Alligator mississippiensis: one gene and its partners. The protein of the gene in region 2 interacts with the protein of the main gene of each other region in a pairwise test. Links are inferred from orthologs where the notes say so. Each region holds a gene or a part of one and is shown on either strand. Other genes may lie near its edges. The genes, in order: RITA1, GOLGA2, CUL5 and PKP4.

What was found.
Region 1: the proteins of GOLGA2 (region 2) and RITA1 interact in binary tests that used the Homo sapiens proteins (3 or more experiments, as listed by UniProt). The two-hybrid records come from large-scale screens. The link is inferred for Alligator mississippiensis from reciprocal best matches to the Homo sapiens genes GOLGA2 and RITA1.
Region 3: the proteins of GOLGA2 (region 2) and CUL5 interact in binary tests that used the Homo sapiens proteins (3 or more experiments, as listed by UniProt). The two-hybrid records come from large-scale screens. The link is inferred for Alligator mississippiensis from reciprocal best matches to the Homo sapiens genes GOLGA2 and CUL5.
Region 4: the proteins of GOLGA2 (region 2) and PKP4 interact in binary tests that used the Homo sapiens proteins (3 or more experiments, as listed by UniProt). The two-hybrid records come from large-scale screens. The link is inferred for Alligator mississippiensis from reciprocal best matches to the Homo sapiens genes GOLGA2 and PKP4.

What each region holds. Positions count from the first base shown.
Region 1 is NC_081833.1:26,042,290-26,050,049, reverse strand, and holds RITA1 (RBPJ-interacting and tubulin-associated protein 1), read left to right. Parts: upstream 1-4,681; 5' UTR 4,682-4,717; coding exon 4,718-4,926; intron 4,927-6,154; coding exon 6,155-6,704; 3' UTR 6,705-7,162; downstream 7,163-7,760. Other genes in the region: ATP-dependent RNA helicase DDX54, read right to left, coding at 591-632, 1,231-1,280, 2,316-2,504, 2,661-2,731, 4,171-4,297, 4,423-4,554. UniProt on the Homo sapiens protein: Tubulin-binding protein that acts as a negative regulator of Notch signaling pathway.
Region 2 is NC_081835.1:57,572,629-57,580,530, reverse strand, and holds the start of GOLGA2 (golgin subfamily A member 2), read right to left. Parts: upstream 3,053-7,902; 5' UTR 3,005-3,052; coding exon 2,954-3,004; intron 2,724-2,953; coding exon 2,592-2,723; intron 1,772-2,591; coding exon 1,691-1,771; intron 1-1,690. Other genes in the region: DNA repair protein SWI5 homolog, read left to right, coding at 7,669-7,757. UniProt on the Homo sapiens protein: Peripheral membrane component of the cis-Golgi stack that acts as a membrane skeleton that maintains the structure of the Golgi apparatus, and as a vesicle thether that facilitates vesicle fusion to the Golgi membrane.
Region 3 is NC_081824.1:437,106,105-437,114,090, reverse strand, and holds the start of CUL5 (cullin-5), read left to right. Parts: upstream 1-4,982; 5' UTR 4,983-5,182; coding exon 5,183-5,206; intron 5,207-7,986. UniProt on the Homo sapiens protein: Core component of multiple cullin-5-RING E3 ubiquitin-protein ligase complexes (ECS complexes, also named CRL5 complexes), which mediate the ubiquitination and subsequent proteasomal degradation of target proteins.
Region 4 is NC_081827.1:222,273,489-222,281,408, forward strand, and holds the start of PKP4 (plakophilin-4), read right to left. Parts: upstream 3,088-7,920; 5' UTR 2,980-3,087; intron 1-2,979. UniProt on the Homo sapiens protein: Plays a role as a regulator of Rho activity during cytokinesis. May play a role in junctional plaques.

The DNA of each region.
Region 1 (7,760 bases), on a different chromosome or scaffold from region 2:
CCCCCCCAAAGTGCTGGAAACTAGGGGGCAGCCAGGGCGATTCGATTGAATCAATTCGGGGTAGTGATTTGAACCAATGAATCGAATCACTGTCCCCCGAATCAAATACTATCTGCTTTGCACAGGCCTAGTGGGAAACTCTGACAGATGGCCTGTAAAGTGAGTGCATAACTCCTCTGGCTTCCACTGGGCATCTCTGCCCACACCAGGGTGAGTGTAGTCATGCCGAGGATGCACCGACTCTTGGACCCTGCTGTGCACCTTGCATAACAGGCTCAGAGTCTGTAACTGGGACTTTCAGGGGCCAAGGTCAAGGCCACACTTCTGGGAAGAGCCCTGAACAGGTGGACACATGGCAACAGCTCAAGCTGAGTCTCCCCCTGTGCCTCACTCACTCCAGGTAAGTTCCTGAGGAAGATGCAGTAGCAAGGGAGGTCACAGGAGTGCATGTGGGTGGCAGACATGTTTCTCAGAGCTCAGCACTCCCAAACTGGGAAAAGTCCCAGTCAGAGTTCAGTGCCAGCCTGTGCTACCGTTTCCTGCCCGCACATCTAGAGAACACAGTACCCACCCTTGTTGCTCCAACTTACATGTCAGGATTCTCATGCAGAGCTGCAAACTGCTCTTCCATCCTGCAGGGAGAAAGGGGTGGATAATAATGGCCAGCAGAATGCACCACAGCACCCATGGCTTCAGGACTCCGTGCTGGGGCAAGAAAGGGGCACCCAGCTGAGCATCACTTGGAGGCTGTGTACCATACTGCATGGAGCCTCACATCCTCAGTTATATGGTACTGGTTAAGGACAGGTTGCTGCAAGCCTGGAGTCAGACTTTCAGGGATCACTTGGAAGGAACAAGCTCAGCAGTGAGTGACACTTTGCCCAGCAGAATACTCCCCCTGACCTAGCCTGCAGGGGCTCTCACCCTGTGTGTTTGTACACATGTAAATAAGATCAAGGCTGGGGGGAAGTTCATCCTACATGCAGGGGATATCAGATGCCAGTCCAGAGCCAGCTGCTAGTTCTCTAGATACACTGTACCCTTAGCCCAGGTCAATGCATTGCTAGAATTGAGCCAGGCCCAACTTTTTACAAGTTTCTACTACAGTTTGGGTGAGTCTTAGCAGAAACATTAGGTTAAGTGTTTGCAGGCATTTCTTGGCCCCACCAGTGCCTGGGTTGAGGCAGTTCCACCAGGGCTATTAGTTTGGTTGCAGTGTGATGGGCTTACTTGTCTCCTCCCAGAATCAGCGCAGTCTTCAGGCCTGTGAATTTGCCCAGCTGCAGGATAAGAAGCAAAAGAGAGTTAAAGCGCAGTCTGATATCAAACCACCTATTGCTCCTACTCCTCTCCAAGCCCATGAAACATCTTCAACTGCTGAGGTCCCCAGGGTGCAGGTGGCTTGACTGTAACTACAATCAAGCTGCCTACTTTCTCCCTCTGGTCTTGTTCCTCTTATATCCATCTGCTCGCTCTCTCTCTCTGAGCACTGGCTGGTCTGGCTTTAACCCTGGCTGCCAGAGAGGTCAAGTACACTCCCTGTCACTCATGGGATGCCCACACAGCAACTCCAGGAAGTGCTCAAGAGAAATGGCAGCAGCAGCCAAGCCCTGCTTAACCAGGAAGGCTAAGGAAAGATGGGCCTTTGGGATCCTTGTTAAGCAAGTGAACTCTGAAAGCAGCCAGCACCCAATGTTTCAAAAGGGATGTTGCAAGGGGGTCAGAGAGTGGACAATTACAGAATATCTGGCCTACAAGGAAAAATTCCCTCTTAATCTCAGATAGTTGCCCAACACCCTGCTCATAAAAGTGGCTCCCTCTTTCTTTCTTTTTTTTAAATCTAGTTCTGCCTTATTCAGGTTCTTACATGCCCATACAACTGAAAGAGAAGTAGGGCTAGAAGGGACCTGATAATTAGGTCAGCTAGTCCAATCCCCTGCTCCAGACAGGATCCTAGACAAGCATTTGCCTGACTGTTTTTAAAGACACTGAGAACAACCTTTTCATACAAAGGGCAGGCACAACACCAAAACACCAAGAATACCTTAATTACCCACAGGTAAAGCAAAAGGATGAGGGCAACCTCACTACGGTATCTGTGAACATTCTTACTCTACTTATACAATCTTCTTATGCTCTTGGCTTCAATGATATCCCATGGCAATGAGGTTAAGTGTCATGCAAGAAGCCCTCCCTCACCCATGGCTGCAGCGCATTGCCTCCCTGTATTACTACAAGTGCTCAAGCCCTGACAGCGAGGGCTCCTAGCTATTCTAGCCCCCATCTCAGCAGGGGCTGCTTTTCCTGGACCATACCTCCTTTGTGAACTTCATGGTCTGTAAGGCGAGCTCACGAGTTGGTGAGAGGATGAGGGCACGTGCTCCTGTCTGCGCGCTATGTGCCTTCAGCTTCTCAAACATCGGGATAAGGAAACAAGCTGTCTTCCCGCTGCCCGTCCGGGCCATCGCCACCACATCTTTCCCGTCTAATATCACTGGGATGCTCTGCAGGATAAAACCAAGAAACACTGTTGATTCACCCTATGGAATCCATTCCAGATGTGCTGGGGAACCTGCTCCACCTGCGACATTGGACAAGTCTGTGGAGGCAACCTAAGGAAGCCAGTGAACATACCATATATCTGAGAACCTGTCACTCACCTTTCTCTGGATGGGTGTTGGCACGTTGTATCCCTTTTTCATGATACCTTTGAATACAGGATAGCTTAAGCCTAGAAGACAAATATGATCATGTAAGCACTGTTCAATTTCTTTATCAGCGATTTGGATGACACGGTGAAAAGCAACCTGTTCAAATTTGCTGATGATACCAAAATATGGGGAGAGGTGGGCACATTAGCAGGGAGGGAGAGACTGCAGAAAGACCTAGATAGGTTGCAGGGGTGGGCTAACAAAAACAGGACGCGTTTCAATACGGACAAGTGCAGGGTGCTGCACTTGGGCAGTAGTAACCAGCAGCACACTTATAAGATGGGAAACTCCCTTCTTGAGCGCACGGAGGCAGAAAGGGATCTTGGAGTCATTGTTGACTCCAAGATGAACATGGGCTGACAATGTGAGGTCACGGTTGGCAGGGCTAACCGGACCCTATCGTGCATCCACAGGTGCATCTCAAGTAGGTCCAAGGAGGTGATCCTCCCCCTCTACGTGACACTGGTCGGGCCACAGCTGGAGTACTGGTGTCCAGTTCTGGGCACCCCACTTCAAGAGGGATGTGGACAACATTGAGAGGGTCCAGAGGAGGGCCACCCACATGATCCGGGGACAGCAGGGCAGGCCCTACAATGAGAGGCTACGGGACCTGAACCTGTTCAGCCTTCACAAGAGAAGGCTGAGGGGGGACCTTGTGACTGTCTATAAACTTACTAGGGGGGACCAGAAGGGTTTGGGGGAGACCGTTTCCCCTAGCGCCCCCCGGGATAACAAGGAATAATGGCCACAAGTTGTTGGAGAGTAGGTTTAGATCACACATCCATAAGAACTACTTCAGTCAGGGCGGCTAGGATCTGGATCCAACTTCCAAGAGAAGTGGTGCTGGCTCCTACCGTGGGGGTCTTTAAGAAGCAGCTTGATGCCTACCTGGCTGGAGTCATTTGAGCCCAGTTTTCTTCCTGCTCAGGCAGGGGGTCGGACCTGAAGATCTGCAAGGTCCCTTCCGACCCTACTTCTATGATTCTATAAGTAAGTGCCCACTGCAGACCAAGAGCACAGTACAGACAGCTCCTGTGACTTCAGTGCAAGCCCTGTAATACTTGGCCTTCTTTTTTCAAGCTCCAGTGCCTGGAGTCCAGTGACTAGATGGTGACCCTGGCTCCTACCGACAAGAGGCATCTAGGCCCGATAATTGTACATAAAAGCTCATGAACATGGTTTGGACTCAGGTGAATGCAGGGCCTATGGAGGTTTCTCTGGACCAGAACTCATGAGTCTGCGGAGCCAGGCAATGCTGGAGGCTCGAACTGTACCCTGCTATGAGCCTGCCCGCTCTCTTAACAAAAAATGCCATAATGCAGCTCTATAAAAAACAACAGCCCAGAGGCCAACAAGGCACAGGCCTGAATCAGGCTGGTACCACTGGCTCCTCCACGAGGCACCCACGGCCTGCTCCACCCCAGGGCAACTGCTGCCTGCCCGCCTCGGGGCCGCTCACCCATGGACTGGAAGCCCCCCGACTTCTTCTTCTTCCGGTTCTGGGCTCGCACCATCTCCCTCGTGTCCGGCTCCACGTCCGAGGCGCAATCGGGGGTGGGGAAGGCCGGGAGCATCTTGGCGGACGCCTGCTCGGGGGGAGACAAGACAGTTGTGCCCGGGCCAAGACAGACCGGCGGGGCGGGGGTCTCAGCCCGCCCCGCTCCACTACTCGGGGCAGCCGCCGACCCCTCAGCCATGGCCCCGCACGCACCGGCAGCCCCGCGCTCGCCTCAGCCCCGGCCTCGGCCTCCACGTGGAACTCGCCCGCCTCCTCCTCCTCGCTGCCGCTGCCCGGGGCGGCCCGCACGCACGGACGCCGACGCCGGCGGCGCGGCTGGGCCATGGCTACGGCTGCCGGAAACGGAAGCGGAAGCGGCCGGCACCACGTGCGCGTCCCGCGTGATCCCGCCCCCGGCGCAACCACCGCCGCTGCGGGGGAGTAGGCCCCGCCCCCGGCGCAACCACCGCCGCTGCGGGGGGAATAGGTCCCGCCCACCGCGGCGGAGATGGTGGCGCCCGCGGGCTCGGAGCTGGCGGTGAGCGGCGCCCGCGCGGCCCGCGGCGGCCGTAGGACCAGGGCCAGGACCTGGGCACGGGCCCGGGCGTCCTTCGTGGACGAGACGTTGTTCGGCCGCCCCGCGGGGGCCCGCCCGGCCCCGCCCGCCTTCGAGCCGCCCTGGGCGGCGCCCCCGCGAGCGCTGCCCTGCGCGGGCCGGTGAGTCGGTGCCGGGCCCCGCCGTGACTTGCATGACAGCTGCTTTGCACGTGTGTCCAGTCCACGTTTGTTGCGCGATAAGTGCTTTGCTGCCTGCGCTTGTTGCACGGGTGGCCGGTGCACTGGGTGATCTGCGGGGCCTGGCCCCCTGCCTCGCTGGGCCTGGGGCGTGGTGAGCGTGACCCGTCTTCGCGGTCTGGACGAGCCGCCAGAGGGGCGAGATGGAGAGGACTGGGCGGGCGCCCCGGCCTGTGAGGCTGAGCGTGGAAACGGTGGGGCATTTGGAGAAATGCGGGGAGCAGGGACAGGGCTGGGAAGGGCAGCGTGGGTTTGGGGAGCTGGATTTTCATACATTTCTCGGGTTGGAAGGGACCTATTAGATGATCAAGTCCCACCGCCTGCTCTGGGCAGGAAAGCGCTGGGGTTAGGTAACCCCAGCCAGGTGCTCGTCTAACCTCCTCTTTAACATCTCCAAGGAAGGGGAGCACCATCTCCCTTGGAAGCCCGTTCCAGATTTTGGCAGCCCTCACTGTAAAGAATTTCTTCCTGATGTCCAATCTGAATCCACTCCCGATGAGTTTGTACGCAGCCACGAGATCACCTCTCAGTTCTCTTGTGGAGGCTGAAGAGATTCAGATCTCTCAGTCTGTCTTCATAGGGTCTTACCTGCAGCCCCTCAACCATACAAGTAGCCCTCCTCTGAACCGTTTCCAGGTTATCCACATCCACATTTTGGATGACGAGGATGCCAGTGAGGATAGCTGGAGGCAAGGGAGCTCATCCTGGTTGGTGAGAGGCTCTCTAGTCTGACTTACTGCACAGCCATGTGTGAGGACAGGAGATCTGGATGCATTCCTGTCTCTGCCCCTGACTTGCCGTTTTTGCTTGGCAAGTTGCTTGATCTGGATAGGCTTCTGTTTTCCCATCTGTAAAATGGAAATGACTCCTCTCTCTTTGTGAAGCTTTTTTAGGTGTAGGGATGAGAAATATACCATAAAGGGGTTTTTTGCCTAATATTTCTTTCCTTAAAAAGAAGTTTTTGGGTGGAATTTTCAAAAGTATCTAGTTTAGGAGTCCCATGGAAATTAAGTAGGACAAGTGTGCTTCACTTGCTAATTGCACCTTCTGAGTGATCGTTAGGTCTCTGCATGCAATGGCCACTACTCTATATTCTCTTTGTAGTAATTATTTTCTTCCCCCTATCCCACCCCTTTCTTTCTCAATGAAGGTTGAAAAGTCACTCTCCATCCTACTGTGATGAATCTTTGTTTGGCTCAAGGGCTGACGAGCCAGGCTGGGCAGCACGGCGGATGAAGAAAGAAGATATAGCTAAACTCCATTCCCTCCTGTGGACCCCTTCATCTGTTCCCAGGACCCAGTCAAGCCTTTCCTCAAGCCTTACCTCTTGTTCCAAGGGGACCCCTCTGAGAGCTGTTCACCCAAAGACCCCCAAATCTCAGAGACTAGGCCATTGTGAGACAGAAGGGAAAACCTCTTTCTGGAAATGGCCTGAGAGTGGTCTGGACTCTGTCAGTCCAGGCAACCTCAACCGGGGCCGTTCTCAGTCCCTTACCCAGGTATACAGGCCTTCTGATCAGCTCTGGCTACCTGCAGACAGTCCAAATACAGGCAAGCATCAAAACCAGCGCTCCCTGACAGCCTCTGTAGCCTCCCAGGGTTCTCTGCCAAGGGCTCGGTCTAAGAGTGTACTAGGAATGTCCTCTGCCAGGGTACCCAGGACAACAGCCTTATGCCAGCCCAAACCACCCTGGAAATGAATTTACTGCTTTAAAATATGTATATATGTAAATACACTCATCAACCAACAGTGCATATAGCAAGATGAGAGATGCGTCTCCTCTGAACCTCATGTTATGGCTGCAGGTTGGGGAACCTCCTTTTACCTGATCTGGGGCAGCAGGAAATCATGCCTTATCTTTCCTGTTAGGTTCCAGCGAGGGGTTGTCTTGGCTCAAGCAGGATAAGGAAAGAGACAATTTGCAAGTGGACAAGGAATAAGATTTCTGGGTGTCCTGAAATATGTGGTGCAGCCCTACTTTTTAAAGCATCATCTTGCAAATGGAAGGCCTGATAGCTTCAGTGGGGTTTGGATCCAGCCCTGGCTGTGAGCAGACAGCTGAAGGTTGAAAGAGCGAATTTATATTGAGTGTTGTGGCATGCTGTTGTATCAGCCTTGTGCTAAATGCTTGTAAATAAATGAAGGAGCAGAAAAAAATGTGCCATGTTTCTTGCAGTTTTTAGGGTGGGGATGGGCATTGCTACACCCCATTTCTCTGGCTCAGTTTCAGCCTTGATTACAATGCCAGGTACAGTAGAGATCTTTGGGCTGGTTCTTGGAATCTGGAGGCAATTCACTCTAGTCTTTGACTTGTAGGTAAAGAAGAGTATCTCCTTTTTTGAGGGTTCCAAGGAAACAGAAGACAGCATTTGATGTATTTGAATCCCATGGGAGCAGCTCTGCTGAACAGGAGGCCTGCAACTGAAGGGGCTCCAAAGCCAGGGTTGGAACAAAAGGCTAGAAAGTGAGCAGGGAAATCATCTACAATCTGGTCCTCAGAAGGGATCAGCGCTGCCTTCCCTATTCTTGCCCAAAGAATGTAGATGGCCAGAAACACCAGGATGCATTTGTCTCTAGCCTGCACATTGCTGTGCTGGCATTTTGGCCAGCACAGTTGTGGGAAGAGCGTGAAAAGGGTTCTGCCACTTCCCTCTTGTCTATTTGATCCTTGTCTAAAATTGGGATTTGTTGGGGCTCTCAGGCCTAAGATGGACATGACCCAAACAGGGTTTGGTTTATCCTGTGCATGTGAGAC
Region 2 (7,902 bases):
TGTTTAAAGCAGTGTTTCCCTGACTCAGGAGTTCTACCAGCAAGACAACTGGGAAGAGAAATTCGAAGTATAGTCTGTAATGAGAGAGAGAGCAACTTGGAAATCAGTCTGAGGCCCTGGGCATTGTTATCTGCAGCCTCCAGGATGAAAATCTGTAACAGCTACTCAGTCCAAAATGCACTGGTGCATGCAAAGAAAGCAGAGAAAGGCACTTGGGACATGAAGACTAATGGAAGAGTAACGTTTCCATATTCACAACAGCACAAACACAGCAGGTATGGATTAGGCCCTCATTTTGAGATTAGCCACTGACACAGAAAAATTATTCGTACATCCTACCTCAACCTGTCCTTGAACAAGCATCAATTCTCTTTCTGATGTGTCCATCTGATAAGCTTAATATAAATTATATTTCCAACGTGCTGCATTCAACCCCACAGGAAAGCACCTGTCAAGTGCTCTTACCATGCTAGCGCTGCTCTCCCATATAACATCCCACAGAAATACCCCACTTGCAAGAGCTTTGTGCCAGGCACTGCAAGTCTCTGATGGGAGAGCTGCTGCATTAATATGCAAGGAAAACTACTGAAAGTCTTATTTTATCTATCACATCATGCAGGTTTCACAGCAGAGTCCTCTACTCCACCTGGTGATTAACATAGTTATATCTATGGGTAGAGCAAAAAGAAAAGGATGCAAGGCAGGTATAATGATATGCTGGACTTGAAAGCTTAAGGTGAAGAGAGTTGTGGACACTATACAAGTTGATAGGTAATTGAGGTTTTAGGAAAGCAAGAACTAAGTACTTCCTGAATCATCATGTTTTATTTTGCATTTTCTGTGTTTCTATCAACATTTTAACCTTCTTTAATTTATGAGACTACTTTTATGAAACATGTTGAAAATTAAAAGGCTGGTAGAAGCTTGCTCTCTCATACTTGTATTTTATTATAGATAAGAATCTTCCCAGTCCCTTTGCTGCCAGAACTACAGGCAACATGAAGACATTAGAGCTAGTTAACACTTGCTACAAAGTATCTGACTTCCTGCCTAGACAGATTTAAAACCATGCTACTTGCCAGATTGCATCACGTGTGCAAATTTCATCACCTGTCACAAAATGAGCTGGCTGGAATAACTACACAGTTTACTTAGGGCAACTGCTTGATTAGAGATGAGCAAGAACATGTCCTTCAGAGATGAGGCACTAATAAATAAAACAGCGACATGCAAACAGGAAGATCACAGATCTAGAAAATAAACCCAGTCTGTGGCCCAGTTTGAACAATGTTTTTATATGCCCCATGCCGCATCTTTGTGGGAACAAAGTGTATGGGGAAAAGGAGTGGCGAGGTGTTTACTACTCATACCATCACCCAGGATCCCCGATACAATTCCAAACTGCCTGATCTCACAAGTCTATCTTAAGGGAAGCTGGTACATTTCACATCTTTGCGTTTTAAACGTGACACAAATCAGAAGGAAACACACAAGTAGGAGCAACAAAGAGGCACATTAAAAGGAAAAAAAAGCTCAAGGTTAATGAAAACAGCAACAAAACTCAAGCAACTGACAACAAATATGCCTGAATGAAGCTTCATCCAAAAAAATCGAGAGGCAGTTTAAAGAGAACTTGAAGCATGCAGTAAGGACAGCAAACTAGTCAGAGGGATGCCGAACACTGCCTCACCTTCCTCTTGTCCAATGAGGGTATGGCTACCCCATTGGATCGATTAAGGTCTGACACCAGCACCTTCAGTATGTTCTGAATCTAAAGGAAGTGAAAGAAAGTGGAAAGAGAAATGGCTCAGAAAGACAGAGTGAGACACCAATCAAAAGGTGGGCTGCAACCAAAGGACCTTGCATTCACTCTCCCTTTACCGAAATGGATGTCGAAACATAGGATCAATCTTAGAAAATGAGGGCTGGAGGGGACCTCAGGAGGTCAGATCTAGTCCAATCTCCTGCTCAAAGCAGAACCAGCCCCAACTAGATCATCCTAGCCAGGGCTTTGTCTACCTGGGTCTACAAAATCTCTAAGGATGGAGATTTCACCACCTCTCTGGGTAGCCTGTTCCAGTGCTTTACCACTCTCCTAGTGACAAAGTGCTCCCTCATCGCTAACCTGAATGTCCCTTGCTGCAACTTGAGACCCTTGCTCCTCGTCCTGTCATCTGCCACTCCTGAGAACCGCCATCCTCTTCGTTACCCCCGCTTCAGGGAGTCCAAGGCGGCTCTCACCCCTCATCTTCCCTTCTCCAGGCCAAACAAGCCCAGTCCCTTCACTGCTCGTGTGCCCCGACCCCTCACATCCATGTCAATGTTTTTCTTGCTGGGGTCACTTGATCCCAGCTGACTTCCTGCCCATGGCAGGGTGGTGGGGGCTGGACTCGATCTCACGAGTCCCTTCCAGCCCCCGATGTCTATGAAATCTATGAAATCCACACTGCGCACTCTGGAGTCAAGAACGGCTTCGCCAGCGGACCCGGCCCCAGCCCGTGGCGCCGGGTCCCGTTAGCGGCTGCGGGGTGCGGACCCCATCCGTCCCCGGTGTGTATCACGACGCAACCGGGCAAGCGCGGGACACTCACGTTCTCGGGCGACGGCCTGTCCCTGTCGTCGGCACCGGTCGGCGTGTCGGGCCGGCTGCCCTCCTTGTTCTTGCGCTTCTTCTTGGCCGCGGCCACGGGCCCGGGGCTGTTCTTCTGCTGGAACTCCTTCAGCTGCGGGGGAGGCGCGTCACCCGGGGACCAGGCCCGGGGGGGGGGGGGGCGAGGCCCGGCCCGGGGGGGGAGGGGAGGCCGAGGTGGCTCGAGGAACAGAGGTTTAAATGGGGGGGGGGGGGCCCGGTGACAGCCGCCGCCGCGGGGGGAGGGGCTGGTGCGGCCCCGCCCGCTCGGCCAAGGTCACCGGTGCCCGAGGAGGGGGCCGGAGCGGGGGGTGGGGGCGTTACCTTCTTCTTGGCCGCGGCCAGCTTGCTCTGCCGGCTGCCGCCGTCCGCCATGGCCGCCACGTCAGCGGGGGCAGGCTCCGCCCGGCACCAGACACCAGGCACCAGGAACCAGGCAGGCGGTGCCCGCCCCCGCGCGCGTGCGCATGCGCGTGCGCGCCGCCTCTCCCGCTCGCGTGCGCGTGCGCGCCTTCCCTCCCTTGCCCCGTGCGCATGCGCGCTGGCGTTCCCCTTCCCCTCCCTAGTGCGTGCGCATGCGTGCGGCCCGCTTCTTTCGTCCCGCGGTGTGGTGTGCTCTCAGCCTTGGGCTCCTCCTCGGGCCTCCCCTGGCGCGGGGACTCCGGCCACCCCCTGCTCCTTGTTTAGGAAAAGGCACCTGTCACAGGGCTCAAAAGGGGGTTGCTGGCAAAATGCCTCCAGGTCCTGAAGGAAATATGCCATATTTGTTGCCAGGAGAAAGGCAGGGCTGGGGGGGAGACACACCCAGGCCTCATCCTGCTTCATGGCGGTGGTGAGCTCGTGAGGGGACACAGTCACACCTCTGCCTGGGATCTGTGCAGCATATCTCTGCCCCGTCTGCCCAGGTCTCTCCCTTGGGCCTTTGGGATATGAAGCAGGTTCAGGGGTCGCCTCGTACAGTGTTAGGGTTGTGGGGTTGAGGTGGTGGGTGGTATAGGATGGTTTGGACAGGACTCATCCTGCCTCAGGCGGGGTTTGGACCAGATCAGCGGTTCCCAATTTGTGGTATGGGTGCCACCAGTGATACGCAGACCACCTGTCAGCGGTACGTGTTAACAGATTTATTATCATTACTTTATCCGACAAAATTTGCTGATGGTACGTAAGGTTGAACTGAAAAATGTGCCGGTGGTACTGAAGGTTGCATCGTTTTAAATTAGCGGTGCGCAATCTCTCAGAGTTTGTGAATGGCTGGACTAGATGGTCTCTGGAGGTCCCACCCTTTGTGATTCTTAGCTGTGTGCCGGGCTAATTTCTCCAGGAAACAGTTGTGCCTTACAAATTTAACCTGGTGTTTATCCAGTCTTGTCAAATCTCTCTAGGTTTCTCTATCATGCTTGAGCCCTGCCTCTGGGATTCATGGTGTGTGGAGGATGTTGCTTTTTTTTCTGGATTGAATCTTGAATTCTTGGACCTCCCTCCTTTAGCTTATTTCCTTTAAGCGGAGTAGGCCAGATCAGGTCAGTAGTCCGTTGAATCTGTTATCACTGCCTCCAGCATTTCCTCAGGGGTAATGTTTCAGAGAAAGATGAGTGTCACCACTGCACATGCGGTATGCTCACACAGTTATACCGGGGTAAAGACAGGAAGGAAGCTCTTCCTGACATGTGCCTAGTGCAGTGCAAATGGTTTTCTTGTCTTGCCCTGGGTTTGTATTGCAAGAAGAAATTGAGAAGCACTAGTGAGAACAGGAATGTAAACATCTGTATAATTGGGTGTGGTTCAGGTTTTCAAGCACTGAGAAATGTGACTCATTTTAAACTTTGGTTCTCCTTCAGCCAGCTGCTGTTTTTTTAGTATTTGCCTGTATTGGACATTTTGTCCAGTTGGGATGTTGAGATGTGTGTTCCACCAGGGTTAAACTTGGGCATAAGATTTCAGAGGAATGCTCAAGGGCTGCAAGTGGTGGTATTGCAGCAGGTGTTTCCCTTTCTTCTAAGTCACCATTGAATCCAGTCAGACATGGTATGGTGCGTGTGCTGTATGAAGGGTGGTGATGATGGCACTCTTTTCCTTTGAGACTCAGTTCTGAGTCAGCTTCTCAAGCCTATTAAAGGATTTTGTGCTTAAAGAGATGCTGCCTTTTGGATGAAATGCAATATTTAGGTTTTGACCACTTTGAAAAAAACAACAGTTATGGTATGTTTGTAAGAATTGGAATTTTAACCCAGGTGTCCTGTCCTCATAATTATTTGGATAGTTATAATCTGCACCAGCTAAAGTTTCGGATGCTGTTTCCAATGGAAATAAATATTTTTTACTATTAACTGTTGTGGGGGTGTTACTTTGTGCTGTTAAATAGATCTTTGTATTTTACACCAGAGGTTGCTGCATTTCAGTGGTGGGTAAAATATGTCATTTGTATATCAGCTGTTTATAAAGTATTTTTGTAGCCTTCCAGGTCAAAGTTAATATATAGAAATACTTTGGTAGAATACAATAAGTTACAAAAAATGAATTTTGTTAAAAACAAAGTGCTTGGATACAGGTATATTTTCTAAGCCTTGAGAAATTTAAAAATGAAATAGATACCACAGGACAGGTTGTCTTCTTGATTTTTGTTTTAAAATTTCTCAGGGAAGCTAGCAAATAGTATGTTCATATCAATCGATTTATCCTGCTTCACTTATGTGATGAAGACTAATTATTTGTGCAGGGAATGTTAGTCAAGCACACCAAGATGAGCACTACCTAAATGATAAGTATTGTTACATGTAACAGGGGTATAGGTTGTAGCTGTGTTGATTTAAGGACATAGGGAGACAAAGTTCTTTGGGTAAATCTGGTATTTTTTATTAGAGCAACTCAAATTTTGAAGTGTAAGAATAAACACTTGACACAAGCCTCAAGTGTCAAGAAAAATGCTTGAAGAGCTGTCAAACTACTATGATGTAATTTTCCAGCTTTCTCTGTTTCTGCTGTGCTCATGCCAGCTCTGTAGACATGAAGAGTTAGACAACAGATACATAGCCCCCCACAGTGTTTCTTCCTACAAGTTGCATGGTTTTGGAGGATTAATGAAATAATTGCTTCTGGGTCTCTCTCCCAGTTATACATCAATGGATGTTGTAAAGCTCTCTGAATTCACTGAGAAGCAAGTAACATGTACAGGTGAGTTTACGAGCTCATCTTCACATTCTTGATCCTGTTCTTCCTTAATATGTAAACTTTAAACTTGATTTGTAATAGCAGTCAGTAGGATTTTGCATACTTTGAAAAATAACTCTTGTGTCTTGCACTTCAGAAATCTTAAATCTTTTACTTCATTGTGTGAGACTCGCATAACGTCTTAGCTCTGAACAAATAAGAGGTTAGACAGCGGACTCAAATATATGGTTTGGATAGGGCTGAGCCTGCCTCAGGCAGGGCGTTGGACTAGATGACTTCTGGAGGCGCCTCCCAGCCCTACTTCTCTATGATTCTGTGATAATAACTATTACCCAAACAGCCACAGTTACACGTCTAGTACCAGGCCTTATCTTATCTTTGGTATATTTTGCTAACTGAAGGTGATTTAGAGATGGCAGAGTACAGAACCTTTTCAAAATTAAATCGGAGTGGGAGCTGTTTATAAAAGGAAGCTGAATGCAAGATAAAGATCATGCAAGATAAAGATGGAAAAGATCTGCACGACTGTGTGACCATCTCAGTCTGTGTAGTGTTTCTGCCTACGCTCATGATGATTGGATGCAGGCTGGTTCTGCAATACTCAAGCAATGTGGTTTTTGTCACAAGGCAGACAGTGAGGGTTTCTATCTAATACCCCCTGCTAGGAGAGATTGCATGCAGGCTGGTTACATCTCTAATCTCTCCTAGCAGGTTCTTTCAGTGCATGTTATATATACTGTAGTAGTGCTGGACACATCACAAGGACTGCACCATTACAACCAGGGGTAGATCTAGGATTTTAAAAAGGGGGGTGTAGCTGGTGCATCGCATCATCACATATAACATCTATTTTTCTCCAGCTAAAGAGAAATCAGAAGCTTTACTAGTTTGCTAGGGGCCTCGTGCTCTATTTTTCAGTTTAAGATCAAAGTGAAAACAAACAAATCTGTATTGGAATGTGCATTAATCTGCTGGGTTATATATAACGCTTTAAAAAGAACACAAGAAATGAGGCAAAAAAGGTTAAAAGATGCTTTTTAATTAGTCCTGAAAGTTAAATGTCCATGTCTTTTTAGATTCACTGAACAAAACCTGGTTTTCCTGAGTGCCTTGACAGCACCTCAGCACTTCACTGGGGGTCATGTCTACACCTGAGATTATATAACCACACCTAAGTGAAGGTTTTTAGCCAGAGCTAAAACCAATCTACAGCGCTGTGAAATAGAAGAGACACAGGACCAGGAATGGCAAACAGACTGCAGCATTGCAGAAGAAAACATAGGTTGCACAGTGGAACATCAAGACCATTAAAAAGGTCGTTCACACCTATGGGATGAAGAGACATTAGCAGGAAACAGGTAGATGATCATGAGCGCTGAAGTCAATTAACTCAGTGCTGCCTGACCCAAAATGCCACTGCCCCTCCCAGGCAGGTGGTGTTACAGTTTGGGTAGAGCAGAAATCAAAGGGAAGGGGGGCGCAACTGCCCCCCACCAGATCCGCCCCTGAATTCAGCCCATTGCTTCTATCCTGTGCTTATTCCAGGACCCTAAACGCAAGTGACAGGGAAGGAGCAAGCTCGAGCCTTCCCCCTTCTTCCAGAGGAGAATCCAGGCCCTGGCAGCGGTTCACCAGGCCAACATGCCTGCCAGCCCCTAGACAGGCTGCAAGAAACCCTCCGCGCCCCGCCCTGCCAGCCCCAGGCAAGGTCAAGAAACTACAAGCCCCAGCGGGCCGAGCGGCGCCAGGCCTCCACAGCCTACATGTCCCTACAGTCGGCTCCCCAGGCGACGGGCCACCAGCTCCCGGTATTCAAAGCGGCGTCAAGCCGCCACTAACTACAAGTCCCAGCAGCCCCTACAGCTCCCAGCATGCAAAGCGGCGGGGAGACCGCGCGGGCAGCCCTGGATGCCCGCGAGCCCGGGGAGCGCGGCGCGGCGCTGCGGCCATTCCCGCGCCGGTACGAGCTCCCTCCCTGCCCCGAGGGCTCCGCGCCTGCTGGGGCCACTGCTCCCTCCCCTGGGCTCGGGGGGTGCCTGGCCCTCGGTGAGCCCCAGCCCCCCTGGGTGGTGCAGCGCAGTGCAGCGCGCTCTGGGGAGCTGCTG
Region 3 (7,986 bases), on a different chromosome or scaffold from region 2:
GTGTTGACAGACATGCAGGTTCCTGCTCTAACTCATGGTGCTTCACATAAAGTGTCATGAGTTAGTGACCCCCCCCACATACACAACAGATGTTCACCTGTTGAGTCAAGGCTGGGGGGATCAAACTCCACCTTGGAGCTGAACCAGTGGAGAGGTCTATTTGCAGCCTCCCTCCCCTAGCTCTGTGCTCCACCCCCCTTCCAGCTCCAGTGCTGTCTGCAGGAAGGGAAGGGGAAGAAGGAAGGGGAAGGGAGCTGCAGGATGGGGTTTGCCAGTCCTGAACTGGAGGGGGAAGGGGTAGGGGGATCAGGAGATGGGGGGGAGCTCCAATCCACCCATCCCCCTCCAACTCAGGCCAGGCAAACCCCAGCCAGCAGCTCCCTTCCCCTCCCTTTTCCCCCCATCCTTTCCTGCAGATAGCCCTAGGGGTGGGACTGAGCTGATGCAGCCCAGCCCAATTGCACTGACAGACTGACCCCAGGGAACACAGATTCCCTAGGTGCTCCACTTCGAAGCACCTTCATCTGATCCCTCACTAGACAAGGGTTAATTTGTCATGTGATCAGCCACTTTTAAAGCACTGTGCAGTCATGCACATGTGTCATGGCAGGACTGTCGAGCACTTTCAGGAGGTTGATCATGTGACAACTGTCACTTCTGTCAGTGTCCATAAAGCCTGGCCACCTTGTCTCTAGAATGACCTGCAATAACCCTACAGACTCACATGGCAGCCTCCCAAGGAGCCTTAGAGGAACTTGAAGCAAGACAATAGACTTGTATTACTATAGGATCCTGGGGCAAAATGCTCTCTTCCAGGGCAAAGGGCAATGTCTATTTACATCTAATTGGCCTGAGATAAGCTGCTGGGGACAAGCCAAGAGCAGCCTCACTGGCAAACCTTCAGGTCTGGTCAGCAAACTCAGGTGATTGGAACTTAAGTCTTGGACTGGATGTCGTAATAGCATAGACTATGGAGCTGATTGAGGTAGGAGGGCTAAGAGGGCTTTGGGCCTAATATTGATATCATTCTGGCTACAGGGGAGTGCTGTTCCAGTTTACTAGAAGCATGCTCTGATAGGGTGATATTTAGCCCACTGTGATGTGTTAAATGCATGCAGGGGAAACATTAGGAAGGAATAATTGTCACTTCTAAAGGCTTTGTTTATGGAATTTATATTTAGCTATTAGACAACTTGTTTGGATTATGATTCTGTTAAACAGAGAACAGGCAAAGCTGAGTGAAGTTAAGCAAAGCAAATGTTTATATATTTTTACCTAACTAGCTGGGTTTATGGGTAAAAGATGGATTTAAAACCATGTAGAGTTCCTGGGAATAGATATTATATGTGTTGATCATAGTACCTGCACCACTTAAGATACTGGCTGTAGACCTCTGTTTTTGTAGAAGCTGAGGATCAGCTAAGGCAATAAAACTCTACTTGCAGAGACTTCAGACTGTTTGCCAACAAATTCTGAACTGCTTGGAGAGAATGGAGAAGCTGCAGTTCTTACGCTCTGAAGCTGAAGAGTGCAGATGACTTATACCTTATGTTATAGTCAAAGTGAGAAATCATCTCTGGAAGGAGATAAGAAAGAAATAATGCATTTATAAGGATGTGCTAAACCAGGGCTGGCCAACTTGTGGCATGTGTCCCACAAGTGGCACAGGCAGCCTGTGTGTGTGGCATGCAGCATGCCGGGGAGGAAACAGGCAGCAGAGTGGCAGATAGGTTAGGGAACAGGAGGCAGAGCAGCAGATCAGGCAGGGAACATAAGGCAAGGAGCAGAAAGCAGAGCAACTGATTGGGCAGGGGAAAGGGAATGGAGTGGCACTGGGGAGGATGTATACATCTGCCAAAAAAATTGGTCCTCACTGGGCTGTAGTGTTGAAATGCAAATGTTATAATACAACTTTATATTTAAATACATGGAATGGCTAAAAGTGTGTATGTGTGTGGGAGACGCCAGAATACTAACTGATTTATAGTTTTTGTTTAGCATTATTCATAGACTTCTGGTGATAGTTACTGTGTTTTACACCAGGCATGGCAAACTCATATGGGGCCCTGAGCCAAATCTGGTCTGCAGGGTTCCTTGCAGGCTGGATCCAGCCTGGAGCACAGGGACAACCACCAGGGTGGCAGCAACTGCGGTGGCAGCAAGGGGTCTGGAGACAGCAGTGGCGGATCTGGAGGTGGGGACAGATCTGGGGGCAGGGGTCTAGCAGGAGCTGGAGTTTAGATGCAGCAGTGGGTCCAGCAGCAGGGGGAGTCCAAAAGTTTGGAGGCAGCCACAGCGGTGATCCAAACTCACCATCAATTGGCATGACAAGCTGGGTAAAATGGCCCTGCCATCTGTGGCAGGCCAGTAGTCCAGAGCAGTGGTTCTCAAACTTTGGTACCTTACATACCTCCTGCCAATCAATGTGGCAAAAGCAAAACCGGAAGTCCCACCATAGCACTTCCGGTTTTGCTACAAGCCGAGTCCCACTTTTTCCTCCAGGACCACAGCCCAGGGCAAAGAAGTCTGTGCGAGGCCTCCCTCCCTGTCCCCCGGCACACTGACACTGGGGAGTGAAAACCCTGGTGCACTGAACACGGTGGGAACTTCTGGCCAGAACAGGCAAAGACACCTCCAACCCGCCAGGCGGTGGGGTGGGCCAAACTCAAAACATGGCACCCACGTACCCCCTGCCTGTGTCTTGCGTACTGCCAGGGGTACGTGTACCATGAGTTAAGAAACACTGGTCCAGGGGGCCAGATAGAAAGGATCTGTGGGCAATGTTTGACAACCCTATTTTACATTGTATATAATGTTTTCTGCCTGCATTACTTGTTTTACTAAGAAGATGCATGATTCCCTGTCTTTGAAAGTTGAGTGCAAACTAGTAACATCTAGTTATAAGGGTCCTCTGTAAAGCATTCATCTTCAAATGGAAGAATCAAAGAATGCCTGAAGATTTGCTCTCGTAGTCTATCATTCAGACCCTTCATTAAATGCAAAATTATTTCCTCCTGGGCTCTTTGCTGATGAGACTGTAGTACCTCAGTGCTTCACGAACCTGTATTTATCTTCATAAACATACCTACAGGGTCATGGGGGTATTATCTCCATTTTATAAATGAGGATCTGAGCTACCATGAGAGAAACTTAAGATGCCTAAAGCCTGAGTTCTCAGAGTAATTATAAAATGTTATGTTCAGTGCATAGCTGCCATTGACTTCAGTTCTGGTTGTAAGCTCATAACACTCCTTCCTGTCAGTGATGCCAGTGGTATCTTAAGATGGGTAACTAGAAAATGACCCAACTGTTTAGTGGTCACTTTAGAAAAATGTGGTTTAAATGAGTTGCCCTCTAAGAATCAGGGATGAAATCCAGATCTTCAGACCAGCAGTCAGCTGCCTTAACCACAAGATCACTCTTCCTACTCCTGCAGTGTCCTCCCTCCTTCACTAGCTTCTGCTGCAAACCAGGGAAGAGTCTTACAGACATACTTTTATCATTTACACGTATGGTAACCATGTTTCTTTTAAGGAAATCTGAGACACTGTTTCAAGTAAAGGTGGCACCTCCTCCACCCCGAAGTCAGCAGCGGTGCTGCAGGCAGAGGCCCGCCTTGCTCCTACACAGCAGCAGCAGTGCCTGCCTGCCTGCTGGCCCTCCTGGCTCACCATGCCACTTCAGCTCCCCACCAGACTGCGCCTCACGACCCTGCCCACCTGCCTCTGCCTAGGTGGCTGATTCCAAGACTTTTGTTTCAATTTTCACCAACCAGCCTACGAAATCTGGGACTGTCCCAGCTAAACCAGGATGTCACCCTACTTACTTACACATCGACCATGCATCCCCAGAGTACTATTGAGCCTGTGCCCTGAATGTGGTAGGCACTATAAACAAATAGTGTGTGATCCATTAATAAAGACTGAATCACGCTCTTTAAGCCCAAACAACCAAATTGCAGTTTCATGGGCAACCTAAATTCTGGCATTTTCTAATTTTGGAGCTGTACTGGTTAACATTTTTTTCACCTAAATGGATTTTTCATTAAACAAACAAACAAACCTTTAACAAAGCCAACATGTTTTGTGGAAAGCAGTAACTTGTTTGAAATATTTAAGTTTTGGGAAAAAATTGGGCAAATTAAGTTTTCAGTATCTAAAAATATTTTTTTTAAATCAAAGCCCAAATTAATCTAACAGAAAACAACCATTCTAATTTGAAAGTAACTTGTATTCAACCACAGCATTACCATTCCCAAGAATTTTAAAAAAATGCTGAGTCCTCAGCAAATTATGACCTTCCTGGTTGGGAGACTGGAAGGGGATGAGGTCTCCCTGGGAAAGATGGAGAGGGCCAAGGAGCAATGATAGATGGAGGGGTTCCCTAAGAGCAGGGGTGTCAAAGACGTGGCGCACGTGTTGGATCCGGCCAGTGGCGCCCCATCATTCGGCCCCGGTGCTGCGGTGTTGACCTGGTCTCTGCATGCAGCCTGTACCCGACTGGACCCCACCAGCGGATGCAGGATTGCACGGCCCAGAGCCCACGAAGGAACCAGTACAGGGCTGGACTGCATGTGGGGCCGGCTCCGGCCAGGCCAGGCTCTGCGCTGCACGTGGCACGTGCTCCAGGGGACCCGGGTGGGCACCACACACACATGCAGCGGGTGGCAGATCCGCCCTGCACAGGTGCTGTGTGCAAAGCAGCAGCTGGACCGGGCTCCGCAGTGCGCCGGATCCAGAAGGGCCGGGGGTGCACGGGCCCGACCTCACCCCGCTCACCCCGCCCAAGGCCCGGCCCGACGCCACGCCTGCTGCCGGGGGCGGGGGCGGGGGCTCCCGCGGGCTCTGGGCCGGGGTGCCGGCGAGGCGGCCGCCGGGCGGCAGAGGGCGCTGCCGCCGCCGTAGGCCCCCCGCCCCGCCCCCCCGCGCGCTCCGTGGCGGCGCCGCCTCACGTGCCCGCCCCTCGCATGGAGCCGGGCCGCGGCCGTGTGTCCTGGGCGGGCGCCGCCATGAGGCGCTGAGCAGCGGCGGCGGGGGGGGCAGCACCGAGCCGGCCGCTCCGGAGCCCCGAGCGGAGCCGCGGGGGCAGGGGCGGGTCGCGCGGGGCCATGTAAAGCGGGGGCGGCCCGAGCCCAGCCCAGCCCCGGCCCGGGAGCGCCGCCGCCCGGGGCCCGCGGGGCAACATGGCGACGTCTAATCTCCTAAAGGTGAGAGCGGCGCCGGGCCGGGCCCCGCGGGGAACAAAGAGCCGCCGGGCCTGGCCGCTGCCCCGCGGTCAGCGCCGCCCGCAAGGCCCGGCCCGACCCGGCCCGGGGCTCCCGGCGTGGGGCCCGCGAGCAGGGTGGGGGGGTCTCGGAGCTGTTTCGTGGGTAGCACGGGAGCGGGGGCCGGAGCTGCAGCCCTGTTCTTCCCTGGGTGGCTCCTGCCAACCTGTTACGGCGCCTGGTGCCAGGCGACCTGCGGCCGGGGGCGAGGGGCACATTGCCCTGCTCTCTGCTGGGGAAGGAGCGGCCTTGAGGGCTGGGGACCTCTTGCGAAAGGGCCGAGTCACGGGGGCTTGGCACCCGGAGGAGAAGGGGTGCCAAGTTCCCGGACGGGGGCAGAGGATGTGGCTCCGATCGCTTGACCCGTGGGGCGGGGTAGGGAGTTGCACAAACCTGGTGGTCTCCTGAGAAGCAACGCCAGGGATGTGGAGAGCAAGTTGAGTACTGTTTTGATGAGTGGTGTTTCAGCACGTGGTGTATGGACGGTGTGGTGTGTCACAGTCGAATCTGGCCTGCAGAGGTGGGTCATGCGGCCTACAGGGCTTCTTGCGGTCTCCGGATCCCGCCTGTGGGGCTAGACGTGCGGGCAGTGGGGCAGGCAGCAGTAGTGGTCAACCCCCGTGGCTGCTGTATCAGCCCCCAGGCCGGGGGTTAACACTGCTGTTGCTTACCCTGTTGCCAGATTCCCAACTTAGGATCCTTGCTGAGGATGCAGGTCTGCGATGATGACAGTATTAACCTTCCCCCTTAACTGCCAGAGCTACACTGTCAGAGGAGCCAGTATCCATGGGGGTTAATGCTGCCCCAGGGTCAGATGAGTTTGACACCTCTAGAGTGTCCCATTTGATCATTGCTCTTTCGCCGTGTGATGTTACTTGCAGCGTGCTTGGGAGTTATTGGATACTGACACACTTCCTTTGTGGAAACAGAATTACACAGCCTTTAAGCAGATGTAAGGACACTTGGCCCACCGGATTTGACTGTATTCTACTGGAAAACAATGCTTCTACTAAGTGAGAGAACAGTGTAAGGCATTAACCGTTCAGGGAGCTCTGCATGGCAGCAGGCTTAGGTGTAGCGTGATGACTTTTTCATAAACATTTCATTTCAAAGAACAGTTGCAGTTGTATTCTAAATATACAGTGATGCTTTCTTGGCAAAGGTGGTATAGAAATATGACTGAAAGAGGCATTACTGATGTCTTACAGTGCTTTTAAATAAGTAAAATTAAGTAGTAACTTTTCATCAGAACAGTTGAGAGAGCTTTATAAAAGGCAGCCAAATATAAGGCCTCTTACAAAGAGGAAACTGAGGCAACAAAAACTGCTAAAAGTTGCACAAGAGTTTGATCCAATAAATAGAAACTCCTTCCTGATGCTTAGCAAACTGTTCTCCATAAAGCATACTAGCATGAAGTGAAGCTTGCTTTGCAGTACATTTATACCCTTCCAGAATATGATATGTATATCTCTTTAAACTTTCTGGAAATTGGAGGGATGGCCCTAAAAGATAGGAAAGAAAAGGTCAAGAGCAGGCATTTTTAGGGGACATGTACAGAAGACCATGTGATTGAGTGTGTCAGGTTTAGTTAACCCTACTTTAATCCTAGTAAAGACAAGGCCTGAGAGTCGGTGCAAGCAGGCTGTATCATCGGTACAGTTTCATTGGAGTCAGTAGGGCACTGTATGGAGGGGAAAGTCTATTGCAGGATGGGGTTTAAACTAATTCCTGCCCTTTTGTGTTTCTTTCCCTTTTTAAGTAGTTAATCTCATCCCGTTTACTGGTCCGCTTGTTTGAGCTGTTCTCTTTCATCCCCGTCTCTTGTCTGATCAACCTGGACCACACCAGACACGCATAGACTCTTCAGCTTTCAACTAATATTTCTGGCTCTGTTCTTTGGATACCTCTTGCTGACTTGTTTCTTTTAAGGATTGCCTAAGATGTCAGCAAATAGTTCGTGCTAACTGTAGTTATGTAATGAACTCTTTTGTAGTTCTGATTAATTACCACTTCATACATTTAAAGCCCCACTCTCCTTCCTATTTGCTTTGTGTGGTAACCACTGTAGCTGCACTACCAGTTGTAAGAGTTGCTGGTTAGGACAGGTGGTGATTGATTGCATGTTAGATTTAAGCACTTTTAAGCCATATATCTCGCCAATAAATTAATCTCTTAGGTTGGCACAAGACAGTATTATTATTATTATTAAGTAAAAATAAAAACCCCAACTGCTAGCTACACCAAAGTAATCAAATGTGTGTCTCTTTTTAGGTGTTTACAGGTTTCACTTAGAGACTCCAGCTGAGATCAGGACCTCATTGTGCTGGGCTTTGTATGTACACTGAAGAAGACTCTCCTTGCCCCAAAGAGCTTAGAGATGAAACAGATAAGACAAAGAGTAGGAAGAACAGGCATAGAAGGGTGATGTGATTTGCCTACAGTCCCACAGTAGGTCAGCAGCAGAGCCAAGAATAGAATTTAGGTCTCCTGACTTCTAGGCCAGTGCCTTATTTACCAGTTTCTGTTTTATGTAGGTTCTTGTACTGTGCTCCTTGCTGTCTCTACTGTACTACTTTGCATCATAGCATCATGATTGTAAAAAGGGATGTTATGTTATGTGACATTCAGATTTGGAAAAATGTTTTTATAACTGTTGCCACCTAAAGCCTGCCTGCTGAGTTTTTTATGTGTATGCTATGTAATGCTTGTCAATAAGGAGAGGT
Region 4 (7,920 bases), on a different chromosome or scaffold from region 2:
TACATACTTTATATACACATAGCATTTCACAGAAAAAGTGTGTCAGGCAAGGTAGGAATGACCTTATTTAATTATTATTGGAAAATACTTAGTGCATTGATTGAACCAACTAAATTAAAAATGCACGTAGCATACTGCAAGTGTCCTTTATGAATATTTTTTAAAAACAACTGAATTAATACAGCTTCCAAGGCAAAAACTGTGGGAAGGGGAGCAGGGTTGTTCTTGTTTTTGCTTTTGGGGTATTTCTCCCTCTGAGAATAGATGTGATTTGCAAGATGATGCTGTTCACCAAAATATGTATTATGTTCCAATAATCTTATGCTCCAATTTTAAGTTTTAAAAAGAATTGCCAAAAATAATTACCACATTAAAAAATAATTCTACCCCCCCACCTCCCCCCGAAAACTATTCAATAAGGCAAAAAAAGGTTTATTCTCCTTTCCTGGTCTCCCTTCTTCAAGTAGGATTTATAAAAAAATTTACAGTCATCAAGAGAATTAAAGGCAAATTATAAAATATTACTACCTTTACTAATACCACACCTATTGCTTCAAGCAGTTAGTTTTATACATAATTATATACCACATGCTGGTTTGGACTGCTGTTTAAAATATTAGTATGTAGAGGAAGATTAGAAAGGAAGCATAGAATAGTCTTCTTGGGACTACATACTTAGAAAATACAACAGTACATTTGCCCTATAGATTTTTGTGTGTGTGTTGGCATCTGAAAAAAGAGCATTCTTCCCCTCCCTCCTTACTTGTCCCCCCTGCAAAAAATATAGTGTTCCTATACACAATTTAGAATTTTACACTGGGAGCACCCATTGATCACAGAAATATTAGTTTGTGCTGCAACATCTTAGACTCAACAACTTCAGAATTCGTTTCACTCTTTCATTTCTTCCCCTCTCAGAACCCCTAATCCAGACAGGGTAGACATGCTCTACCTACTAAATCACGTCTACCAATATGCCTACACTTTTTGTATGACTCCTGCCGATTAGTATACACACAGGCAAACTAGTAAATGCAATCCATCCTCAGAGGCACAATGTGTCAGCTATAAAACATCTGCATGCGTCATTACAGTCAGTCAGAAGTGCTTGTTTGAAGGTATTTGTCATTTTTCTTCCGTTTATTTTGCTTATTGATCAGGCAGGAAAATCCATAGCTGTGCTCCCTATATTCAGCAACAAGGAATATTTTAGGAGTGAAAAATATCTCTAAGATTTGGGTACTGATATGTGGTTGTCACATGGGAAGAGAGAGCCACACATTTAATCCTTTAGTTGTGCTCAACACGCATAGCAACTAACAATCATCTCAGACCTTTTGGATTTAAAGCAGTTCAATAATGCTATGAGTTTACTGGAGAAATATATTCCTCTTTTCTTAACCACTCTCCACACTGATTAACAGATTCCAAATAGCTAAATTTATCCTTCTGATCATGATGCCCTAGTAACAAAACTGTCCAAAACAATGTGTCAAAGCAGCAGCAGGCATAACAGTCCCCGAATTGATTTAGCTACTACTATGATTTCTTTAGATAAATGCTATGTAGACTTTGACTGATTTGTGCCAATGCTCCTCCTGAGGTTTCCAACTACAGGGTCTTGTCCCTCTACAAAGGGTTAGACCGATTGCCATGTTTGGCAACAGAAAGGAATTTTACCCCATGGTCAGATCGGTCTGGGCTGTAAGGGGGTTTGCCTTCCTCTGCAGTGGAGGCATGGCCTTCTACCTGGGATCTCTTGAGCTTGTACTGACATTTCATAAAAGCGAGAGGTTGGCTGTTGCAGTCCCCCTGCTCTACCTGTGGCAGGTTAGGGTGCCAAGTCTGTATTGCATCATATTCGATGGCAGTCTTACATATGGATTGTACAGGACGGTTTGGATAGGAATGATCCTGCCTCAGGCAGGGGGTTAGACTAGTGTAGTCACTAGATGACCTCTGGGGTTCCCTTCCAGCCTGACTTCTCTAAGACAGTCTACCATTGTAATTATTACCTTTTAACTCACAGAGAAAGAAAAGCCACAGACAAAAAATAACCGCTATTAGACCACGCTCAGGAGCATTCTGCTACCAAAGTTGGCAAAACCTCTTCCTCCTCCGCTCCTCTCCCACCTGCTCCAAATCACCCCCTGGCAAACACCCAGAGAAGCAGCTACGATGGTTTGAGCAGCAGAATGAAAACTCCCGTCGGGCTACAGAGCGTAACGGTGGGAGAAGACATGGTGGCAAGCGGTCTCCTGCCGCGGTGCTGCCTTGTCTCAGCTGGTGGCCGACACGCCCCGTGCACAGCTCCCGGTGCCAGACCGTCCTCTCTGTCCCATCCCTGCCACAACACTGCCTCTCTGTTCCTTCGAGTGACGTGAGATATGGGGGTCTCGCTGCGGCTCAGGAAGATGAAAAGCCGCAATTCAGGAGACAACAAGAGGTGTCCAGGCACCGACAGCAATTTCCCACACCCTGCAGCCACAAGGGCTAGGGGAGGCCGCGCTGCGGCACCAGGCTGGTCCGACCTCCCCGGAGCCCCAGCATGTTTCAAGCAGGAGCTCAACTTGGCGCGGGAAGCAAAGGCCGCGGGAGGAGGGGGGGGGGGCAGAGTCCAGGACTGATCTCATGGCGGGCAAGTGCCGCGAGCCTCTAACCTGAGCGCGGCGCAGGCGGGCGGGGAGGCCGCCAGGCAGATGCTCCGGGGCCCTGCGGCTGCGGGAAGCGGGCGGGCTCCTTCCCGGCGCGTTCCTCGCATTCCTGCGCCCGCCCGAGCCGCGGCTCGCACCTGCCCAGCCCGGCAGCGCCCCGCCCCGTGCCCGGCCGCACGCGGGGGCCGAGCACAGCGCGGGCTGCGGAGCCGAGCACTGGCCACGGGGCCGCGCCGGAGGAGGCTCCTCGGGGCAGCGGGAAGGGAAGGGACGGGACAGCACGGGACGGGACGGGGCGCCCAGTCCCCGCGCCCGCCGCACTCACCGCGCAGATGCAGGCGCCGGCGGGGTCCGGGCGCGGACGGGCCCAGCGCAGCCCCCGCCGCGCCGCGCGCCCGGCCCTAGCCCGGGGTCTCCATGGTGCCGCCGCTGCCGCCGCGTCCACTCCTGGCCGCCCGCTGGCTCCGCCCCCCGCCCCGCGCGTCACGCGACGCCCTGCCCCGTGCCCCGCCGCCATTGGCCGAGCCCCGCGCAGGGCCGCGCGCCATTGGTCGCTGCCTCGTGTGAAATCAGCCAATGAGGCGGTGACTTGAGGTTGCCAGGGTTACCGATGCTGTGAGCAGGCTGTGTGGAAGGGGCTGCGGGTTCTCCGGGCGCGGGTGTGTGCGGCGGCAGGTTGCGGGTCCGTGCGGGGGAGGCGGTTGCGGGTCTGTGGGCGGACTGAGCCAGCCGCGCTTACCTGCATCTATCCCTCCTCGCTGCTGCCCTCCGTCCAATCTCCCCCCGCCGCTGCAGTCTCAAATCCTGCTGCTGGAGACGTCTCTCTCTCTCTTTCTCTCTCTCTCTCTCTCTTTCCCTTTCTTTCTCCCCTGTTTCCCTTAATTTCCCCAAATTCCTGGGATCCAGACCTGAATCAGTGACTGACTTAATGTCTGATATTTTGTGACCTTTAAACACCGAAGTGGTTAAGCCTTGGGCCCCCTCTCGCTCTCCTTGGTAAAAATTGTCGTGCTGTATCTATTTAACTCCCTCATGGGTGAAACTGACTTGGCTCCCTCAGTATCAAGGCCTGGGGAGCCCCTAAAACTAGAGGTCTTGTCAGTTCCAGGATCCTTACTAAAGACTTAGGCCACTCCGGAAAAACAAGGCCGCAGGCCTTAATGAGGTGTAGGCTACTCCTGTGAGTAATAAGCAGTGTTTATACTGAATTTTGGGGTAAGTGTTTAGCTGTCTTTCTGTGCTGTGGCTATGTCCTTCACCTTATTCTTGGGTGGTTACTGTATGGCAGTTGAAAGACAAGGAATAGCTAAACATGTCAAGCGGCAGATAACAATCTTTTGGAGCCCCTGGTGGAAATAATCAAGCTTCGGTCTGGTCTGAGGTGGGCCAGTGTCCCAACCCTGCCACCGCTCTTCCCTTCTGCTTCTTCTCCCTACCCCTTAGGTGCAGCACAAGCTCACCCCTTTCCACCTGATCCTGGCTCAGCTCCTTGCTGCCCAGCACAGCTGTGGGCAAGGCCCCCTGGCTCTACAGGCAGGATCCAATGGCTGCAGAGGCCAGGTGTGGCCTGTGGACCATATATTGCTGACCCCTGAGTAAAGTCATCTATATTTCTGAAGGAGGAGGGGCATCTCTTGCACATGTGATTTCTGTCTTCCCACCTTTTGCTTCTGAAAATAGATATACCGATTGGTTCTGTATTTCCTCCTGGTTACAGTTATAAGTTTTTTGTCTCTGTAGTGTTTGTTATTGCCATAGGTTAAAGGAGTCAGCAGGAAGAAATCTGATCAAACATCTGCAGGGAATAACTTGGTGTGTATAAATAGGGTTGCTGATTCTTCACAGTTCCAGATGCCTTTCTGACGCTGCCACACCAGAATGGTGGCCTAATTGCAGAAGTGTCACTGACTATCCAAAGTGCAGGGCAATGGAGAATCAGGCCCAAAGTGTTCAATCTGTGAAATCCCACATGTGTAAGAAAGCAAGGTTAAGGGGGAGGAAACATGAGTCAATAGGGAGAAGAGAAACATGATTAAAGAAAAGGTGAGTGGCAAAGAGGAAGGAAAGCAAGTTAACTGAGAAGAGGTACCAGAAAAGAAAAGGGGAGTAGAAAATGGAGTAGCAATTGTGGGAGGAGTAATAGAAACGGTGCTAGGGAAAGAAAAGAAATATCTGTCCCTCCAGAAGCTAATTGGTCATAGTTGCTAAAGATGACTGGATTAACTACATCAATATTAAATCAATGCAGGCAAACTGCTGCAAAACTTGAATGATCAAATTGGCTTAGCTTTTACTGGTAACTTCTCAGAGTAGTTCAGTGCCTTCCTTTACTGTGGACACTGAAGCACATCAGAGCATTCAACTAGTGTCAGCCCTAGTGGAGTGAAGGGACACTCGTAAAAGGCCGAGTGGCTGTGAATTAAATGCTGGGGAAACTTATGCAAGTACAGAAATGGAAAAAGTCCAGGAGAAGGATAAAGCACCTAGGAAGCCATTGCAATGGCCGAGGTGGCTGTTCAGAAATGTGTGTTCTCTTAATCAGAAAAGTCTAAATTACAGTTCATAAGATGGAACAACCAAAAGACAACTCTGTCCTGAGGGAATAAATCAATTGTTTGCATATGTTCAGCCCTTCACCGGAGTCAAAACTCTGGAGAGTGACTTCTACTGCTGGTAGTGTTGAAGCCCGAGTTCCTCTTCTACTTGATCTTGAGACCCAAAGCCTAAGAGATTCTGCTTTAAGTTCAACTTTGTAGGGCAGCAACTCTTGTGAGAAATCCTACCTCCAGTTAGTGGGGAAGGTAGACAGTCAGCTGAGTTGTAGCCTGTAGTGTCTAACACACTGTATGTGGGTTCACGTGCCTCTTTCCTCCTAGATGATAGGAAGGAGACAGTGGCAGGACCCAGTCCCAAACTCAGACCTCCCAAAGTTTTGGAGTGTCAGAATTGTATGTGGGTACCTAAAAATCAACCCATACCATCTAAAGAAGAAGATAGACATGTCTAATTTCTTTTTCTTTGAAAACTAATGAAACGTATATGTTGTTTGGTTATGGAAATACATACTGTAAGAAACTTCAAATCATAAGAGGTTTTAATATATGCTCTGACTGGGAAAAGTGCTAAAATGTTCCCTGTTACCTGAGGAGCACTTCCTGTTTGGCTTTTTTTTTTTTTTTTTTTTAGGGAAAGAAAGATGCATGTATTTTGTGTAAATCTCTATTTTCCTGAGTTTCCCCGGTCATGTTATCTTAGACCCACAGAATTAAAGCAAAAGAAAGCCTATTGGATAAAATAAGCACAAAGCAAAAACCCATTCCCCCTCCTCCCTCTCCCACTGATAGCCCCAGAGCTTGAGGGGAGGGGAGAGGCAGGGTCCCATCTGCTGGCCAGGGCAAGCAGGCTCCAGCCCCTACCCCTCTGTTGGGGCAGGGCCTCTAACTCATGGCACTTTACATAAAGTGCCACGAGTTAGAGTGGGGCCGTAAACATCTGTAGGCACCCTAGATGTGGGTTGGCTTCTTTGGAAGTAATAGAAAGACAAGGAATTATTTTGTGAGGTTCCATTAGGTTTGTAAGGGTGTTGAAGCACTTCTGTTTTACCAGTGAAACACAGTAAGTTAATGATAACTAGTCATAGTCACAGGGGTTTAGGTTGTAGCCATGTTGGTCTAAGGACATAGGCAGACAAGGTTCCTTGGGTGAATTTGATATCTTTTATTAGACCAACCCAAATGGTTGGAGAATAGTTATTAAGCAAGCTTTCATGCATTCATGTATTTAAAAAATAAAACCAGTGATCCCTCTTGTTTATTTAGCTTAAGATTCTATATGAAGCAAAGATAAGTTATTAGGTCAAAATATCTTCTATAAAGAAATCCAAACTTGATGTAAAGATATTAAGAGCTGAAGTATTTACCCTTTTCCTTGATGTGCAATTAAATGGTTAATAATTTTACTCGTAAAAATCCTGGCAGCACTTCTATTTTGAATTTGTCTGGTTTAAGCTTTCATCCTTTAATTCTTCTTGTGCCTTCTTCAGGATTTGATTTGTGAGTATTTTTTTACAGTCTCAGTGCCATTAGGAAAGGACCTTGCCTCCACTGTATTTGTTAGCAAATACTATGTGAATCTTTGAGTGTATATGTCCTTTCCCTCTTAAAGCTACCTGGATTGCTGTGACCTCTTCATCTGATCTCTGCCAGGATTCATTGTATCTTTCACTTTTTTGGACAAGAAGTTTAGTTGACTGCTATTTGACAGTTCTATTCTTGCTATGATTCTTGCATCTTTCAAATCATTAATGTTTTTCTGCTTCATTTAACCTGCCCTGGAATTAAAGCCAGATTCCAACTTGGGCTTTCACAGATGTTCTCGGTGCTTGAAGAATATTAGCATGACCAGTTTTTAATGTCAGTTGATACTTCTACTTTTTCACAACTACCTGGAATCTCTTATTTGAATGAGAGCAAGAGAAGTACCTTTGCTCATAAGTAGGTAGAGTAGTAGCTACATAGGACCTGCTTTCTGGAAAGGAAGGATTATAAAGATAAATAGCAGTCTTGAAAACAGTTCTGCTTTGTTCTTCTGGTTTTGCTTAGCTGTATTTATTTTATCTATCGTCTAACTCAGATGCTGAAGTTACAAGAATTTGAATATGTTTTAAGTATTTGGAGGAGAGAGTGCATCTGAACAAATGAAGAGCTATTTAGCATTCACAACAGAAAAAATATAAATTATTTTTCGTTAAAACTTAGTTTGCTTTAAAATGATTTTAAATATTTTTGGGGGGGGAATGGAGATAGAGGGAAATCAAGACAATTGAAACTATTATGATACACCTTTGGCTCATTTGTAAACCACAGTTGGTTAAAATGCAGTAAATAGTGAGTGTGAAATAAATCCAAGTTAATAAGAAGTTTGTTTTCCAAATATAATGTCACAACACTGAGTTGACATTTTTTTTTTCCTCAGTGAGCATTTTTTTCCCATTTTTTTAAATGGTGCCATACCTCACTATTCTACTTAATTTTATTTGGTTACCATATTTCTCAGCCTATATAAAATCATTTTTGAGGAATACTGTCACCTAGTTACTTCTTAATTTAGTTTCTTGCTTTGTTGAAGAATCAAGCTTGAGCATTGCAGTCTCATTCCTACTGGGTGCTGAGCGCAGTTCCGCAGAACACTGTAGGGTACCAAGCAAATCTACTACTTTGGAAGTACTGCTTCCAACCCACTAGAATTGCTTAGCACTTAAAGTGAT